Coturnix japonica: one gene and its partner. The protein of the gene in region 1 purifies or fractionates together with the protein of each later gene. This does not show direct contact. Links are inferred from orthologs where the notes say so. Each region holds a gene or a part of one and is shown in the gene's direction. Other genes may lie near its edges. The genes, in order: NMNAT2 and FBXO45.

Region 1 (3,222 bases):
ACCTGGAGAGTTCCCCCCTTATTTTTGCCTCAGCTGCTAACTGGGATCACGAATGTGGCCACCAGGCAGCAGACCTCCATGGCCAACCAGACACAGGTGGGGCAAACACTGATTTTCATCCCTCCCTTTGCTCATCTCTTCTTTTTCCACCCGCAGAACAACATCCTGGTGGTGAAGGACGACTCGAACCACCCCATGTCGGTCGTCAGCTCCACCAAAAGCAGGTGGGTGATGCTCAGGGTGCCCCCTGCCAACCTCTCCATTCATGGGGACACCACTTTGTTCCCAGCCCCTGCTCAAGAAGCCCTAATTCCTGGAAAGGGGCCGACCAACCCCCACATGGGTTCTGACCCTCCTCTTCCCCTTCTCCCCTAGACTGGCCCTGCAGCACGGGGATGGACACGTTGTGGATTACCTCTGCCAGCCTGTCATTGACTACATCCTCAAGAGCCAGCTCTACATCAATGCCTCTGGCTAAGTGCCACAGGCCGTGCAGCAGAACAGCCCTGTCATCCCGTGTCCCTACAGCTCTCCACCACACTTTTCTCTCTCTTTCTGCGTCTCCATCTCTCTCCCCATCCCATGGCCTCTCACTCTCAGCACTGACGCTCCGTAGTGCAGCAACATCCAGGGACCGGCAGCACGGCCCCACGTGGAATGGTTTGGTCTCTATTTTTTTTTATTTTATGGGAACTGTCCTCCCTGTTGTATACGGGGAAGGAGGGGGGCAGAGATGTGCTCAGTGTGCTCACTGAGGGGCACCTCCACCCCTCACTCCTGGCATGTGACTGGGAAATGGTCCTCCTAGTCCATCCTCCCCGCATGCTCAGAACAGGGGCTTCCTCTTTGCTCAACAAATCTAGCTGATTTTTTTCTTTTCTTTTTTTTTTTTTTTTCCTTTTTTTTAAAAAAATTAAATAGCTGTAGTACAAGCTCCTTAGCTCTCTTGCCACGGTGCCCTGCTTCCCATTGAATCCTGGCGGGCAGTGGGCAAGCATAATGCAAGTGGTTCTGTGTCCTGCAGAACCTCTTCAGGCCAGCAGTAAGGACAACCCAGCCAACAAAATCCTCCACTTAGCCCTGACAAGTCATGAAGATGGTATTTCTGAAGGGGCAAGGACTACTGCCAGAGCAAAACTTACCAGGGGAATGTCTCACTTCTTCTTGTCTGCAAGTGAATCCAGTCCACCCCAAAGCCAAGGATAGATGCTGTACTCCAGCCCCATGTCAGAAGAGGCAGCCTACAGCACCTAGAAAGGGATCTGCCATTTACAACAACAAGAAGCAAGGGAGGAAGAAGAGGGGAGGAGGTGGCCCAGAGCCACTGATGAGAATTGCCCCAGGCCTGGCCGAGCTGTTTGGGACTGGGTCCGTCCTCATCATCAAGCCTCCAGCTCTCCAATGCTGGCTGTAAAATTCCCATTTTTCCTTTCTCTCCTTCCCTCTTCCTGTCCTTGAGAAGTTTATGCATGATGTATTTGCCCTTCCAAACTGGCTTCAGGTACTTCACACATCCCTTGAGACAAGCCAGTTTCCTGCTTTCCTGCTTGTGACATGCCTGGTAGAACCCGCTCAGCCAGATGCCAAAAAATAAGGCATGGAGCATGGAGCAAAAGGGAATAATTCCAGTCCTGCAGAGATGAGGGTTACTTAAGCAGGCTGCTGTCCTACTGGGTATCCCAGGGTGCAAGGACCCTGCTGGTCCTGCTGGCTCAGCCTCTTGAAAGATGACAGCCACAGAGAGGAAGGTACAAGTCTTGCTTTCCTCCATCCTTTTCTCCCTCCCTTTACTCCTTCCAGCTTCATATCTCTTAGTGTCTATAGCTCCCAGACATCTACCAAGTCACAAACTGCTCTTTGGAAACTTCAAAGATGAGGCTTTGCATTAAGGTTGGTGACCTGCTGGGCACTGCTGTCCCCTGTGCCACAGCCCCCTCCCAGAGAAGTCACCTCCCTAACAGCAGAAACGCTGGGCAAAAATGACACAGTCAGCACATGCGATGTCTTAGCAGCAAATGTGCTGAATCTCTCAGATCCAGCCATGCTGTTTCCAGGCAGTTGTGTACGTACCTTGAGGGATGAGGGGGCATGGAGATCCCAGACCAGGGAGGGCGGACAGAGTGTGCAGGAACACCTCCAGGGATAAGCCCCCATCCTGCTGAACCCCCAGGCTAATGTTTCAACAGGTTCCAGCTGGGCATCTCATTCATGAGCACCCAACCTACATAAGCTGATAGCTAGACTCCTCTAAATCCATTGCCTCTGCTATCCTCCATGTTCAGGGTTTCAGCCTGTTTTTCCTTTCCACCCCAACACAGAGGTCATCCCCGAAAACATCCTCAGTCATCACCCATGTTTCTTAGCTCCAAGCTGGAGTAAAAGCAGCAGTGTTAGAAACCAGCCTCCAACACACACACACACACACACACACACACAAAAAAGGATTGGAACCTCTGGGAAAGGTGAAGAAGCTGAAGAGGAAGGAAGGATGGTGGCTTTTAAGAGAGGAAAAGACAGTAACAAAAGAGGAGATGAAGAAGGAGAGAGGTCGGCAAGTCTGAGAGCAACCTCAGAAGCCCTTCTCCTCCCTCCCTCAGGTACACAAGATGGGATGTGCAGGAAGCCAGCTGGCTTTCCATCTCATCATGGTTAGGATGGCATGCCTTAGAGACATAGTGTTGTGATAGGGATGATGAGTATATTGTCTTACTAGTCCTATCTATGCCTTCATGTATCTGCTCAGCAAAACTCAGAACGGGGCAAGGACAGGGTGGGGGGGGGGGGGGTTTGTTACAGGTCAGTCAACGCTGGGATTGGTTTGGAAAACATCTATGGGTGGGTATGGAAAAACTCATCCTCTGAGATCCATGCAGATGGTGGGGAGGTGAGGAAGGGACTTTCCAGCACTGCTGGGGTGTGAGGCAGCTCCTGGGTGCGTGTGGATCTTGGAACCTCTGATTTTAAACAGTGGGATTTGCTGAAAGAGAAATGAACTTCAAACGTCTTTTGGAATATAAAAAAGGGGGTTGGGGGGAGGGAAGGGTTGAAGTTGCCATGCCACCAATTTCACTTTTGTGAAAGGTTTTGGAGCCTTTTTTGTTTTTTTTTTTTCTTCTTCTGTTGCTATATAAAGAAAACGGTCATCGACAAAAGAGAAACTTTATCAGCAAAATGTTTAAATTATGTAATAAACAAAAGAAAAGGATAAAAAAAAAAAGATGC
Region 2 (4,362 bases), on another chromosome or scaffold:
TCCACACTCCTGCAGGTTTACGGTCCACAGGGGACGAGCCTTCTGCAGGTTCCACAGCATAACCTTGGAAAAGATCAAAGGAATCTGTCATTTACCCATTTCACTTCAAAGAACACCAGCTGTAGTTCCCCTAACACCGCCTGAACCACAGAGACCTTTGTACAAGTGACAGTTTGCATCTCGGGCTAAAACAGGAACGTGGTCAGACCTCAACCACGGGAAGGGAAGTCCTGGGGGGTGGGGGGGTGTCCGGCCCAGAGCACAGGAGCTGAGCGGAGGCCTCGTGGCAGCTGCAGCTCATAGGGAGCAGATGGGCAGCGCTGAGCTCAGCTCGGTGTGACAGCGACAGGGCCCGAGGGAACGGCATGGAGCTGTGCTGGGGAGGGGGCACCGACAGGGTGTGACACACGGGGACAAGGCAGAGAAGTGTAAAAGGCAAAGAACATTCAGCACGGAATTCTGCAGGGGGTGAGCTCAGTAACACGCTCAGAGCAGCCAGGTAGTTCTGTGTGTGCGTTCAGCACTCTGGCTGCCATCTGCTCTGCCTTGGGCACTTTGTTTTCCTCAGGCAGCTCTGCCCGCAGCCATTCACTCGGTGTAAGTGCAGGCTCCACACGGTGGGACAGCGCTGCTGCGGGCACGGCTGCTCCGCGCTGCCCCTGCATTGCCCCGTGCCGACCACATCCACGCTGCGATGAATGAAGCTCGGCACGACCCCGCGCCGCAGCTGGGCCCCACGCCCTGACCCGGGTGGAGCAGCGCGCAGCCCGGAGCCACCTGCCCCCATTACAAAGTCACCTGCATGTCCAGCCCGCACGACACGAGGCTGCGCGGCCTCTGCGGCCGGAAGGCGACGGAGGAGCAGATGTTGTGGTGCCGCAGGGAGCGGATCACTTTGTTGCCGTCCAGATCCACCACCTTGACGGCCCCGGAATCGTCCGCCGCGGCCAGGAGGGTCCCGTCGTGGCTGCTGGCCAGGCAGTCGATCTCGTCCTCGTTGAAGCGGAGCCGCTCCACGGGCTCCCGCGGCGCCCGCACGTCCAGCACCGCCACGGCCGGGCCGTGCGCGGCGTACAGGAGGTGCGGGCGGCGCGGGGAGAACGACAGCGCCGCCACGTCGTGCTCGGCGGGGTTGAGGCGCAGCAGCCCCGCGGACACGCCGTCCCGGCCCCACAGCGCCAGCTCGCCGCGCTCGGCCCCCGAGGCCACGGGCCCGTCGGTGCCGGCGGCGATGCAGAGCACGGAGCCGCAGTGCGCGCCGTGCCACCGGGCCGCCATGATGGCCGGCAGCGCGGGGACGCCGCTCTCGGGGCGGACGCCGGCTCGGCGCATGCGCGGCGGGCGGCTCGGGGCGGGCGGTGATGGCGGCGCGCGCCCCCTCGCCTTGAGGCCTCGGCCGGGCGGGCGGAGCGCTGGGCACCGACCCGCCGCTACCGGCACCGCCCGCTGACGGGAAGGGAAGAAGGGAAGGAAGGGCAGGAAGGGCCGCTCGGCTCCCGCGGCGCCGCCCCCCCACTGCCCCCCGGTCCAACCCCCTGCGCGGGGGGCGATGGCGGCGGGGCCCGGCGGCGGGGCGGCGGGGGGAGCGGGGTGGCGGCTGCCGGGCCGGGTGCTGGAGCTGGTGTTCTCGTACCTGGAGCTGCGCGAGCTGCGGAGCTGCGCGCTGGTGTGCAAGCTGTGGCACCACGTCCTGCACGGCGACGAGAACAGCGAGGTGTGGCGCAGCCTGGCCGCGCGCTGCCTGGCCGAGGAGGCGCTGCGCACCGACATCCTCTGCAACGTGCCCACATACAAGGGCAAGGTGAGCGCCAAGCCCGAACCCCCCGCGCGGCCGCGACGCCCCCCGCGGCCTGACCCCCCTGTTGGCTCCCCCCGCCTTAGGTCCGTGCCTTCCACCACGCCTTCAGCACCAACGACTGCTCCCGGAACGTGTACATCAAGAAGAACGGCTTCACTCTGCACCGCAACCCCATCGCCCAGAGCACCGACGGCGCCAGGACCAAGATCGGCTTCAGCGAGGGCCGGCACGCCTGGGAGGTGTGGTGGGAAGGGCCGCTGGGCACCGTGGCCGTCATCGGCATCGCCACGAAGCGGGCGGCCATGCAGTGCCAGGGCTACGTGGCCCTGCTGGGCAGCGACGACCAGAGCTGGGGCTGGAACCTGGTGGACAATAACTTGCTGCACAACGGGGAGGTCAACGGCAGCTTCCCGCAGTGCAACAACGCGCCCAAGTACCAGGTGAGCGGGCGGCCGGCCCTCCCTGCGCTCCCCGGTATCTTTATCTTAACAGGTATCACGGCTGTTCACACAACCCCTGTGTGGTTGGGTTGGAAGGTGCCTTACAGCAACCCTGCTCCCAATCCCTGCCGTGGGCTGGCTGCCCCCACCGGCTCAGGCTGCACAGGCCCCATCCAGCCCGGCCCTGAGCACCTCCAGGCTGCAGGAGGATGGGGCACCCACACTGCTCTGTGCATGATTCCTTTGTTTCTGCCTTCTTTCTCAAATACGTGTGGGTGTTATTAGAACACCGCATCCCCCGCTGCAACAAAAGCTGGCACTGCTCTCAGGAGCATTAAAGGGCCCAGCAGTGTCTGTTGACGGTGGGTGTTTCACCCCTGTGCTGTATGCACTGTGAGCACAGGCCGTGCTGACATAGGGCCCTCCTATGCCGTGCGCTGCTTGCTGGCTCTCTGGGCTCCTTCCCATGGGTGACATCCTTTGGCTGGGCCCTGACGTGTGGCTGATTTGGGGTTATCAAAGTACAGGTGCTGCTCCGCTGTTGTGTCTCGCAGCGAGTGTTTATCTTTGTTCTGGTTCCTGCACAGCTGCCTTTGGACTGATGGTTTTCCTCACGTTGCATCTTCAGCCGTGTTGCAGCTCAATTCCAATCTCACAGCGTCACGGTTTGGGATGAATAATGCCTTGTGCTTCAGCTGTACGTGAAGATCTTGGCATTAACTCAAGGCTGATATTTCTACATCCCATATAAAAGCTCACTGCCGAGCACTCAGCTCAGTCTGGAAATGATATCTGCCATTTTTGCTATTGAGAAGTAAATGTGGATCAAAGAGAATTGGCCCTTTCCATCCCTGCCCATTGGCAGCCCCTTCCTGCTGCCCCTGTCTGGGCCTTTCTGTGCAGCAGGATGAGGAGAGGTTTTAAAGCCAGGAGAGCTCCCATGGGGCCTGCAGGCTGAGCTGCGCTTCCTTCTTAAGAACTGGTGAGGGCTTGAATCAGCAATTTGTATTTGCTAAGATGTAGAATCACAGAGTTGTACACAGACGGTCACCTGCTCATAGGAGACACGCTGCAGGGAGACACGCACTTGTTAGCATTGGTTAGAAGCAAAATATATTGGCTGGAAGGAATCCCTGGCGCTGCGGTTGTCTGGTGGAGGAGCACAAGTTTGTGCTATCTCATGCTGCATTTGCTGCTGGTGCCTCTCCCTTCTGTTTATATTTGAAAGCAGCAAGTGCAGGATAAACATGGGGAGCATCCCATGCACCGTGCCCCAAACCTGTTGCATTTGGTGTTGGTTTTACCCACACATGTGTATCTATACTGTAGGTTTTGTGTACCCATCTTGCCAAAGATTTGCACTGAATTCTTTTTATGCCTTGCTAAGGGAGCACCGCCGTCAGCTTGTGCCATCAGAATGTGTTCTGGGGATACTCCACACCTGGCTTTTACCTTTAAAACAACTCATCTAACGTTGCTCTTTGTAGGCTCTGCTGGTCACTGCTGGCAACAGAGCCCTGGTAACTTGGGGCTATTGGAAATGTTCAGGCTCCTGCTGTGTTCTGGAGCAGAGCTCTTGCTTGTGCTGCTGCTGCAAGGTCCACTTTGATGGGCTGTGTCTGATGCTGGGAGGGTGCTTAGGCCTGGGCTGCCTGCAGGAACAGGCAGCAGATGTACGGGGTCCATACGAGAGGAATGGAGACATCTCTGTTGTGAAAGCACCGAGGAAAGCCTCGCTTTAACCTGATCTGTGTTATCCACGGATTTTGCTTTGGTTTTTGGGTTGTTTTGTTGGTGTTTCCATCTGAATATATTGACTCTTTCCTCTTTTTTTGTTTCTTCTCCCTCTTCTTCCCATCTCTGTTTCCAGATAGGCGAAAGGATTCGAGTTATCCTGGACATGGAAGACAAAACGTTAGCGTTTGAGAGGGGCTATGAGTTCTTGGGAGTTGCCTTCAGAGGACTGCCCAAAGTTTGCCTGTATCCGGCAGTGTCCGCCGTGTACGGGAACACAGAAGTGACTTTGGTCTACCTGGGAAAACCTTTGGATGGATGACGGATGGTTTCGTTGGGGACGTGACGATGCGGATGATCGGGAGGAGAAATCTGCATGTTGGTTAGAGG

Evidence for each region.
Region 2: the proteins of NMNAT2 (region 1) and FBXO45 purify together in Homo sapiens (co-immunoprecipitation; 3 studies listed by BioGRID and IntAct, with this or other methods). This does not show direct contact. The link is inferred for Coturnix japonica from reciprocal best matches to the Homo sapiens genes NMNAT2 and FBXO45.

Annotation. Positions count from the first base shown.
Region 1 is NC_029523.1:4,385,892-4,389,113, forward strand, and holds the end of NMNAT2 (nicotinamide/nicotinic acid mononucleotide adenylyltransferase 2), read left to right. Parts: intron 1-156; coding exon 157-224; intron 225-375; coding exon 376-478; 3' UTR 479-2,424; downstream 2,425-3,222.
Region 2 is NC_029524.1:3,579,730-3,584,091, reverse strand, and holds the start of FBXO45 (F-box/SPRY domain-containing protein 1), read left to right. Parts: upstream 1-1,342; 5' UTR 1,343-1,549; coding exon 1,550-1,801; intron 1,802-1,881; coding exon 1,882-2,238; intron 2,239-4,108; coding exon 4,109-4,294; 3' UTR 4,295-4,362. Other genes in the region: WDR53 (WD repeat-containing protein 53), read right to left, coding at 1-63, 799-1,278. UniProt on the Homo sapiens protein: Component of E3 ubiquitin ligase complex consisting of FBXO45, MYCBP2 and SKP1. Functions in substrate recognition but also plays an important role in assembly of the complex.